2 linked regions of the Coturnix japonica genome follow. The protein of the gene in region 1 interacts with the protein of each later gene in a biochemical or structural test. Links are inferred from orthologs where the notes say so. Each region holds a gene or a part of one and is shown in the gene's direction. Other genes may lie near its edges. The genes, in order: RUNX1 and ELF2.

What was found.
Region 2: the proteins of RUNX1 (region 1) and ELF2 form a complex in vitro, tested with the Homo sapiens proteins (2 studies listed by BioGRID and IntAct). The link is inferred for Coturnix japonica from reciprocal best matches to the Homo sapiens genes RUNX1 and ELF2.

What each region holds. Positions count from the first base shown.
Region 1 is NC_029516.1:95,415,117-95,418,924, reverse strand, and holds part of RUNX1 (runt-related transcription factor 1), read left to right. Parts: intron 1-2,922; coding exon 2,923-3,114; intron 3,115-3,808.
Region 2 is NC_029519.1:25,638,840-25,643,156, reverse strand, and holds the start of ELF2 (ETS-related transcription factor Elf-2), read left to right. Parts: upstream 1-1,319; 5' UTR 1,320-1,413; intron 1,414-4,317. UniProt on the Homo sapiens protein: Isoform 1 transcriptionally activates the LYN and BLK promoters and acts synergistically with RUNX1 to transactivate the BLK promoter. Isoform 2 may function in repression of RUNX1-mediated transactivation.

The sequences.
Region 1 (3,808 bases):
CATATAGACCTAAATAAATAGCTGAGCTGTCCCGAGGAAGAGCCTGCAGGTGCTGATTCCTTGACCTCCAATGACACAAGTGGGGTTTTCATGCAAGCCACAAGCTGAGGCACCCTCTGTCAATACCGCAGATAGTTAAAATCTGGGGCTTTAGTTGGTGGATGGGCAATGAAGAGACTTGTAGAGGTATGTTCAGGATACCCCCTGTGGTAACCCCAGGGGGATGCTGCACCTTTGGTTAATTTAATTCAGACACAAATGCAGTGCATCAGAGGGGAAGGCTGATTGCTGCCTGGTTGGCCTGAACGTAGCCTGTAGGACCTGCTTGCCTGTGCATGAGGCTGCTGGGCTTTAGGATAGCTTGGGGCTGTGACAGGAGCTGCAGCAGCCTGGCCAGGAGAGAAGAAAGCAGGGTACGAAGAGGTCAGGCTGCAGACTTAACAGCAGAAAATGGCTGAATTGAATTCAGGATGAGGAGTAAATTACACTGGGGGTATGAATTTGGAAGGATCTAAATCTTGGCTCTGCAAGACCTCAGGTCAGACTGCTGAAGCTTAAGCTAATCCAAATGCATGAGGTATTTTACACATCTTGTATGACTCCATGTGTTCACATTTAAGTCCAGTGTCAGGAGCAGCATCCAGCTCCGTGCTGCTGACAACCAAAGTGCTTGCTCTTGGCCCACCAGAATATCCCATAGAAGTCTTTTTCATCTTTCTCCCCTCCCTCCACCGCCTCCCTTTTTCTTTTTGGAAGCCCTAATGGGTCTCTTAAACAGTGAAACCGCTGCTATATAATATGTCTTTTTATATTTTAATTTTTTTTTCCCCTCTTGGGATAATTTATAGCACAGTGTGGAATCTGAGACAGTTCATGCTGTGCCAAAGGGCCTGGCAACAGGAAGAAACGCCGAGCCACTGAGATTTGGAACCATAATACGAGTTATAAAATTTAATTTTAGAAATGCAGCTACTGGGAACTGTTTTTGAATGTACATTTTCCCCTTAGTGCATAAAATGGTCTTGTGTCTTGATTACGCTTTTAGGTTGGCATGAAAGAGTGCTCTGTAGAGTAAAGGACATACAGAGCTTTTTGTTGCTTATTCACCGATACGCGAAATTGGAAGCTGGGTGTTTATAAATGTTTAAATGTTAAATAGTATGGGAATTTGTGGATTATTTGGAGACGTTTTGTATCAGTCCATTTCACTGCTGATGCTTTGAGCTCAGGGAGGACTTGCCAAAGGAGCACAGGAGGTAGAGAGGCAAAGGAGGTGGAAATGCACAGAGAGCTGCCAAAAGCAACCTTTTATTGCAAGACGATGAAAATCGGGAGCAGACAGGCAGTGAAATATGATATTTGGCAAAAACTGTGGATAACACCACCTTCTTCAATGGAGCAAGTAGAACTGAAGATGTCCATTCATTGACCTCTAGGCTAGACATTTGAGATATATTCACATCAGGACAACATGCTTTCATGTAGAAAAGAAAGGGAAAGAATAAGCAACAAGATTCACAGGGCAGCTGATTTCATGAGACAAATGCAAAGTGCAGATTTGAGACTGGGGGGAAAAGAGGGTTGATGGCATCCATGTGAAGGTCCAAAGCAGAAGGTGCTCTCTCTGGAGCTGAGGATCCTATTCCACTGACTGAATACAGGTGGGGTTTGGGTTTCTCATACTGCTGCTGCAATCAGTATCTTGCTCTCTGTTTCAAAAAGCATCTTTGATAGGACAATTTGTGTTTCATAGACAGTCCTCTTATGGTCTTTCTGCTAACAGCTTGTTTCCTGTGAACTGTAAGAAGAAAAAGGTGATAGGTTAATTCCTAAAAAGGTGCAAATGAGGATAGAAAATTTGTGTTTTCATCGTGCTGAACAGAAAGCAAGTGCTGCAGTGGGTGAGGTATCCTTCGTGTATTCTGTGCACATTGCTACTGAGCAACATTACATTTTGTGGCAGCATTACACTGAGGGTCCCAGAGCAGAGAGCATTGATGGGCAGCAGTTAGAAATGCATTACCTTGCATACTGCTCATTGCTCCTAGTTAAAGCTTATATTGAAACCAGTACTGCCTGTGGCAAGACAGATCTCTGTTCTTCCAGACAAACCTGGATGTACCCCAATGCCATGCTGGAAGCAAGGCCTTTCCAGCTCCTTTCCTGTCCCCTGGCAGCCCCGTGAGGTCATGGCACCAGAGTGCCACGGGGACAGCATTCCAAGGCCTACCCTAGGCCTGGTCCTAGGCCCTGCTCCTCCCTCATGGCTGAGGCCAGTGCCACTGTGCTTCATCCTATTCTGCCATGTTAGGGTCTGCTTTCTTATATTTGGATGTCTGGTGAGACCTCATGTCTTGGAAACTCCTAGTGTTGCTAAGGGAGACATCATGACCTTGCAGCTGCAGTTCTGCCAGCTACTGGTGTTTCTTGCCTATTTCTGTCTAGAAAGCAATTGCTAAAGAGTCCAAAAATGAGATTTATTTGGGTTTGTTATTTTACAGCCCCACAGTACTGAGTACAGTACTTTATGACAGTCTAGGGTTGCATTTCAGATGAGTTACTCTGATGCAGGGTTAGCACAGGGACCAGCACAAGTTTCCTTCTGTTATTCATCCTGTCAGATGTTACTTCTTCTATAAAAACCTCTTCTCCCAGAGTGAGTTGTAGTAAGGAGGCACTGCTGTTTTCAGTGGGCCTGGTTCTTCAGAGTACGCCATGTCATGGGCTGCCCTATGATATGGTTTCAATGCACTGTTTGTTTCTCCTGTCCTTGCAGAGAGGTATTTTCAGTATAACTTCAGATAGCCACTCAGATACTTCACCAGTGGATGAGGGGTTTAGAAAGTAAAATTAAAAGAAAAGTCAACAGACCTCATGTATCAGTGAGATTTTCTGATCTTTTTCCCCCCCCTCCCACAATAGGACATCGTCAGAAACTAGATGAGCAGACAAAGCCCGGGAGCTTGTCCTTTTCAGAGCGCCTGAGTGAACTGGAGCAGTTGCGTCGTACGGCCATGAGGGTCAGCCCACACCACCCAGCCCCCACACCCAACCCACGAGCCTCCTTGAACCACACCACTGCTTTTAACCCTCAGCCTCAGAGTCAGATTCAGGGTAAGTACCCAAAATCCTCCCCTGCTCGCTCAGCACCCACCCAGCCCTGCTGAGAGCTCCTGGGCTCAGAGGCACTTCCTGCCTTGTTCCCATCTCCCTTTTTTGGCTGTCCCAAGACGCATGGACACCTTGCAAGTCTTTGTTTTCTTGCAAAGATGCATTATCACAGGCTTTTTTAATATTTATAGGTGTATTACTTGATGGGTAGTTATCAATTAATTGTGTGCTTGAATGAGACAGATGTGCTGTCAAGGCCTTTATTTGGCCTTTCAAGGGAGGCAGTCACAAAGTAAGCTTTAGGCAAAGGACCTTAGAGCCAAGACCTGAATGTGAGAGGGCTGGTTTGAACTTATTTCCGGGGCTGGTGGTTATCCACTGGGTTGTATTTGATTGAAAGCTTATAAAATGATGACTGAAGCCCAGTTTCCTCTGAGATGGAGGTTCACATATGCCAGTGAAACCAAGCAACCCAGTTGGAAAACTTATCCGCCTCCGCTGGATCTGAATCTGTCACTGCTAAGATCAAATCTGCCACCAAAATCTGTTGCAACATAGTAAGCAAAGGATCAGATCGCTACAGTCAGCTGATAACACAATTTGCAAAATGCATATCAAGGTGCAGGTTACAGTGAGATGCGTCAAAGGAAGGATGGAGCATGGTACTTGTTACAGTGAGAGTTGTTCCCAGTGTAGT
Region 2 (4,317 bases), on another chromosome or scaffold:
CGTTCTGGTCTCTACTCCTTCTCCTGGGAAGCTGCAGGAGATGTTGGCCCCTCCAGCTTTACTGGGGTAGGAAGAAGGGCTTCTGATATGCGTTGGTTTCATGTACAGATTCAGTGTCTTTTAGTTATCTAGAATCTTGCTTGTTTGGTGATAAATAGTAATTACCCGTTGGCTGACATGCACTCACGTAATCAAACAGAAGAGGGCACTCAATCAAAGGCAGTAGGGATGCTAAAACCCGGAGCAAAGAAAGCATTCCCCAAAAGCCGGAGCTGAACAGGAAGAAATAAATAATGCCTTCTTTTATTCACCGGGTTTTATTTTCAATAGCTTAACTGTACAGCTCCTTTTCATTCTGCTGCTGTAGTGAGCAACTTAGTTCCAGTGTAAACTGCGTGGTGCTGAGGCTGTTAGGGAAAGATAGGAGCCAAACCTGGCGTTCAAGACTTGACAGTTCTTCTGGTATTCTTTGCAGACATAACCTTCATTAATGTGGTATTTATGCTTGAGAATACAGACGTGAAACAGACTTAGGGTCCTCAAATTAGGCCCCACATCCCTGCAAAAAACATCTGACTCTTGTACAAAGTAGCATAGGGCTGGAGGAAACATTTGTTGCTTTGCCTCGTGCAGGGATACTAAGTGGCACTTGTTGGGGTCAACACCCCCTCTATCTCTACCAGCATTTGCCAGGGACTGACGTTAAGGATCGGCTCCTGCTACTGATGAGAGGTGGGTGATGTAAAGCAGCAGTAGATCCAGCAACTGAACAGCATCCAAGTGTGTGCACTGTTCAATCTTAGGCAGGCTGAGAGTGTGAAAAGACTTCAGTTTCGCTACACTACACGCTCTGTTACAAGGCTGGGCAACGCCGGGCTCCTCAGCCATGCGCCGTGGCTTCCGTGAAGCTTTTCCTTTAGTTATCGTATCCCGAAGGGCACTTACAGCCGGCTGTCTATCAGTGCCGGTGGTCGCACTGTTCCGCACCTCCCAGACCAAGGCAGGGAGGCTGCTGGCTGTCCGAGCCCGCACACGGCCGGCCGTTTCCCCCCAGGACAAGCCCCTGCAGAGCCCCGCACGGCGGTACAGCGGGGCGATGTGAAGCCGCCCTTTCCCGAGGCAGGCGGTGGCACGGCACGGCACGGGACGGCGCGCACCCTGAGCGGGGCAACGGCTCCTGCGGGCGCCTGCGCAGGGTCCGAGCGGCCGCGCATGCCCGCAGCTCCCCGCCGTGCGGCTCGAGCATGTGCAGAGGCGGCGCGGGGGGGCCGGGCAGGTTGAGCCGCGGCAGCCGCCCCGCCCGCCCTGGTCGCCGCCGCCGCGGGGCGGCCTCCGCCGTGCACGGGCGGCGCCCGGCCCCGCCCGCCGCCGTCCCAGGCGAGCGAAGGAGGCGGCCTCGACGCCGCGGGCACGGTAAGAGCGTGGCGCCGGTTCGCGGGGCGGTGACAGGCGGCCGCTCGAGGGCAGGGGGTCGGCGGCGATAGCCCGGGCGGTGCGCCGCGCCCGTTCTCTGCGGCGCTTTCGGTTTCCAGTGCCCGCTCTGCGGGCGGCTCCCGGCGCCTGTCAGCGTCGGCGCGGCCTGCGGGGCGGCGGGGCAGCCCTTGTTTACACGGGGCGCGGGGAAGATGGCAGCCCGGCGCCGGCCGCTCTGTCGCTCGCTGTCATGCGTGCTGGCCGAGCGGATCCCGGCCGGCCGCCCCCCCTTTCCCCGGCCCGGGGCGGGGTGCCCGCCGTCCTGCTCGTGCTTCGAGTGCGGGGCGCCCGGAGCCGTGTGCGTGCATCAGCCCTCGGCCGCTCCGGCACCAGCCCACGCGCTGCGCCGGGGGAATCCTCGGCGCTGCCAGGAGCGGGCTGCTGGTTATAGGGCGTCTGAGCGGCTCTGCTGTTTGTGACCTAAAAGGTGGGGGAACGGGGACTGCGTTTTGTGTCCTAACTTTGGACTGAAGCGGTGCGAACGCTGGCGTGTTGGAGAAAGCTTTATAGCGATGTGTTAGTGTACGTTGAAAGCTCCGTATGGGGCTTTGGTAAAGCTGCCTGTTTTATCGGGTGTCGAAGAACAGAGAGGTCTGGATCTGTGGTTGTTTGCGTGAACCGTTGCTTCCCGGATCCTGAGGAAGTGAAATACAAGGCTGCAGGTCCACGTGCCGTGGGTCTGAGCCAGGGTTCTCCGCACTCCGCCTATCTCCGTTGCTATCAGTTATTTCAGAAAGGTTCTGGGAGCGGGGCTCTGTTCTGAGGTTCCAGCAATGCCAGCCTCTGAAAGCCCCACAGCGTGAGGCTGTGCATCCTTGTGCTCCGCGGTCACTTAGGCTGGTGAGGGACTCTATCTCCATAACTTCTTGACTTGAATGTTCTTATCTCTTCGGCCCTTAGAACATCCTTTGTAAATGGATCCTGTTGTGTGCATGCCCACTTCCTCTGCTGTTGTGCTGGTTTGTTTTTAAACCCGCATCCTTAACTTTTTTCTTTGCGTTGATCCCTTCTCTTTTATTATGTAAAGCGATGAATAATTTTTCCTGAACTCTGGCCTGCTGGGCAGTAGAAACGGATGTTAAGGGCCAACAATTGGCACGACAGGGAGAGGAGGTCTGGTACCAAGCAGGGAGGTGAGGGATGAGGTTTCGGGACCAGTGGAAAGGGAGTCTGCTCATAGGGTAAAACATAGGAGGCTCCAGAAGAGGAGTGCTGAAGTCACAAAGCTTTCTGCAGAGTACCAGTGGTTTTTATGACATGATGAACTCGCATGTCCCGGGACTCATCAGCTTTAGCTACTGAGCTTCCAGAACAAACTTTGGATGGTCAGATTTCTCGTTCAATAGATATGGAAGTTGAGTTCCTTACTGGGTTGGTATGCTGTTAACTGGATCCAGTGTAATAATTCCTATGCATCCAGCAGTGGAGCGACTGCCCTGCGAGATGGGATCTCTGATACTTGGACACGTGTTGTGGCAGGACAGGACCACTCTCCTGTCTGAGTTCTTTCTCTGTATCCTTTGTTGTAGTTTATAAGGTGATATAACTAGCTCAGACTGTCTGTTTTGTTCTCCTGAAATGCAAAGATTGACCCACGTCAGCTTTTCGAGCCGACCTTGTGATTCTTTAGCTACAGAGAAGTTGTTTTTTCCTGCTTTTGCAGAAGCTTCTCTGATTTTAGACTTGTTCCGTGTTCCAAGGAAACACAGTGAGCTCACAATTTCTCCTGTCAGGGAAAGTGTCTTGGAAAGAACTTTCAGTCGGCAGAATGTGTTTTGTTTTGTCTTTTGAACAGCATTCTTGAAGTCTGTAGGTCTCAGGGTGAAAGCGGCTGTTGTACCCCTCAGGAGCCTTGTTGCAGTTAGTGGGATTCGGCAGTGATCTCAGCTGCTGCATTTCTGTGTGCATAACTGATTCTGCATTCAAGCCGACTTCTTTAGCAATTCTGACCGAAGCAAAGGAAGGCCTGCTTGAAAACACTGGTATGTGATAGTGCTGCTGGCCGCGGTCCTGCTCCTGCGGCTGTATCTATGTAGGTATCCGCATAAATCTATCCTTGGGGTTTTGGATGCCAACTGAATAAAAGGGAGACATTGTTCCAAGGGCTCTTACACATTTTCTGAGTGCTGCAGGAGCAGCTGCCTCCCATCAGTGCTACCCAGCGTTCCGGGTGTTTTTCTTGTTTTCTGTGTGGGTACAAGTGTGTGCAGCTTTTTTCAAGCACCGAGTTCTCTTTTTCTTTTGGTTGCTTACAATTGAAATAAAACTGAACCAACTCACAGATCTGTGCTCAGAGTTTTGTTTAGAGCCCAGCCTGGTGTAGGAGAGGTGATGTGCTACGCCATCTTTGTCATGCCAGCTCATCTACTTTAATGTTCTAATTCTTTTGAGCTCTGTGCTTGCTTCACTGTTAACTGGAGAGCAGTTGTGCACTGAGGGATTGACTTGAGGTTTTTGGTTTTGGATGGCTGTTACGTGCTCAGCACAGCTGTGGCATGCAATGTTTTAAACCTTGTCTGGTAGTTGCTGAAAGCATCATAGGAGTGGATTTGTTGTGGGGAGGTGCTTGGGTATGTAGCACAGGCCATTTTGCAATTCTAGTTTCTGAGGGTGAGAGCAGCTAGATTTCTTTCTGTTTTCCCACAGGTTATGTATAAAAAGACTTAGATATGATGCAGCAAAGCCCTTTTCCTTATTGTAAGGGACTTGATGGGGAGCAAGCCTAGAGTCATATTAGATTCAAGGTGGAGGCAGAAGGGTGTCCCCATGGGTGTGCTGCTCAGCGGCAGGGTGGAGAACAAATGCTTGGCTGCTTCCTTCAGCAAGAGATGTGTCTGCAGGAAT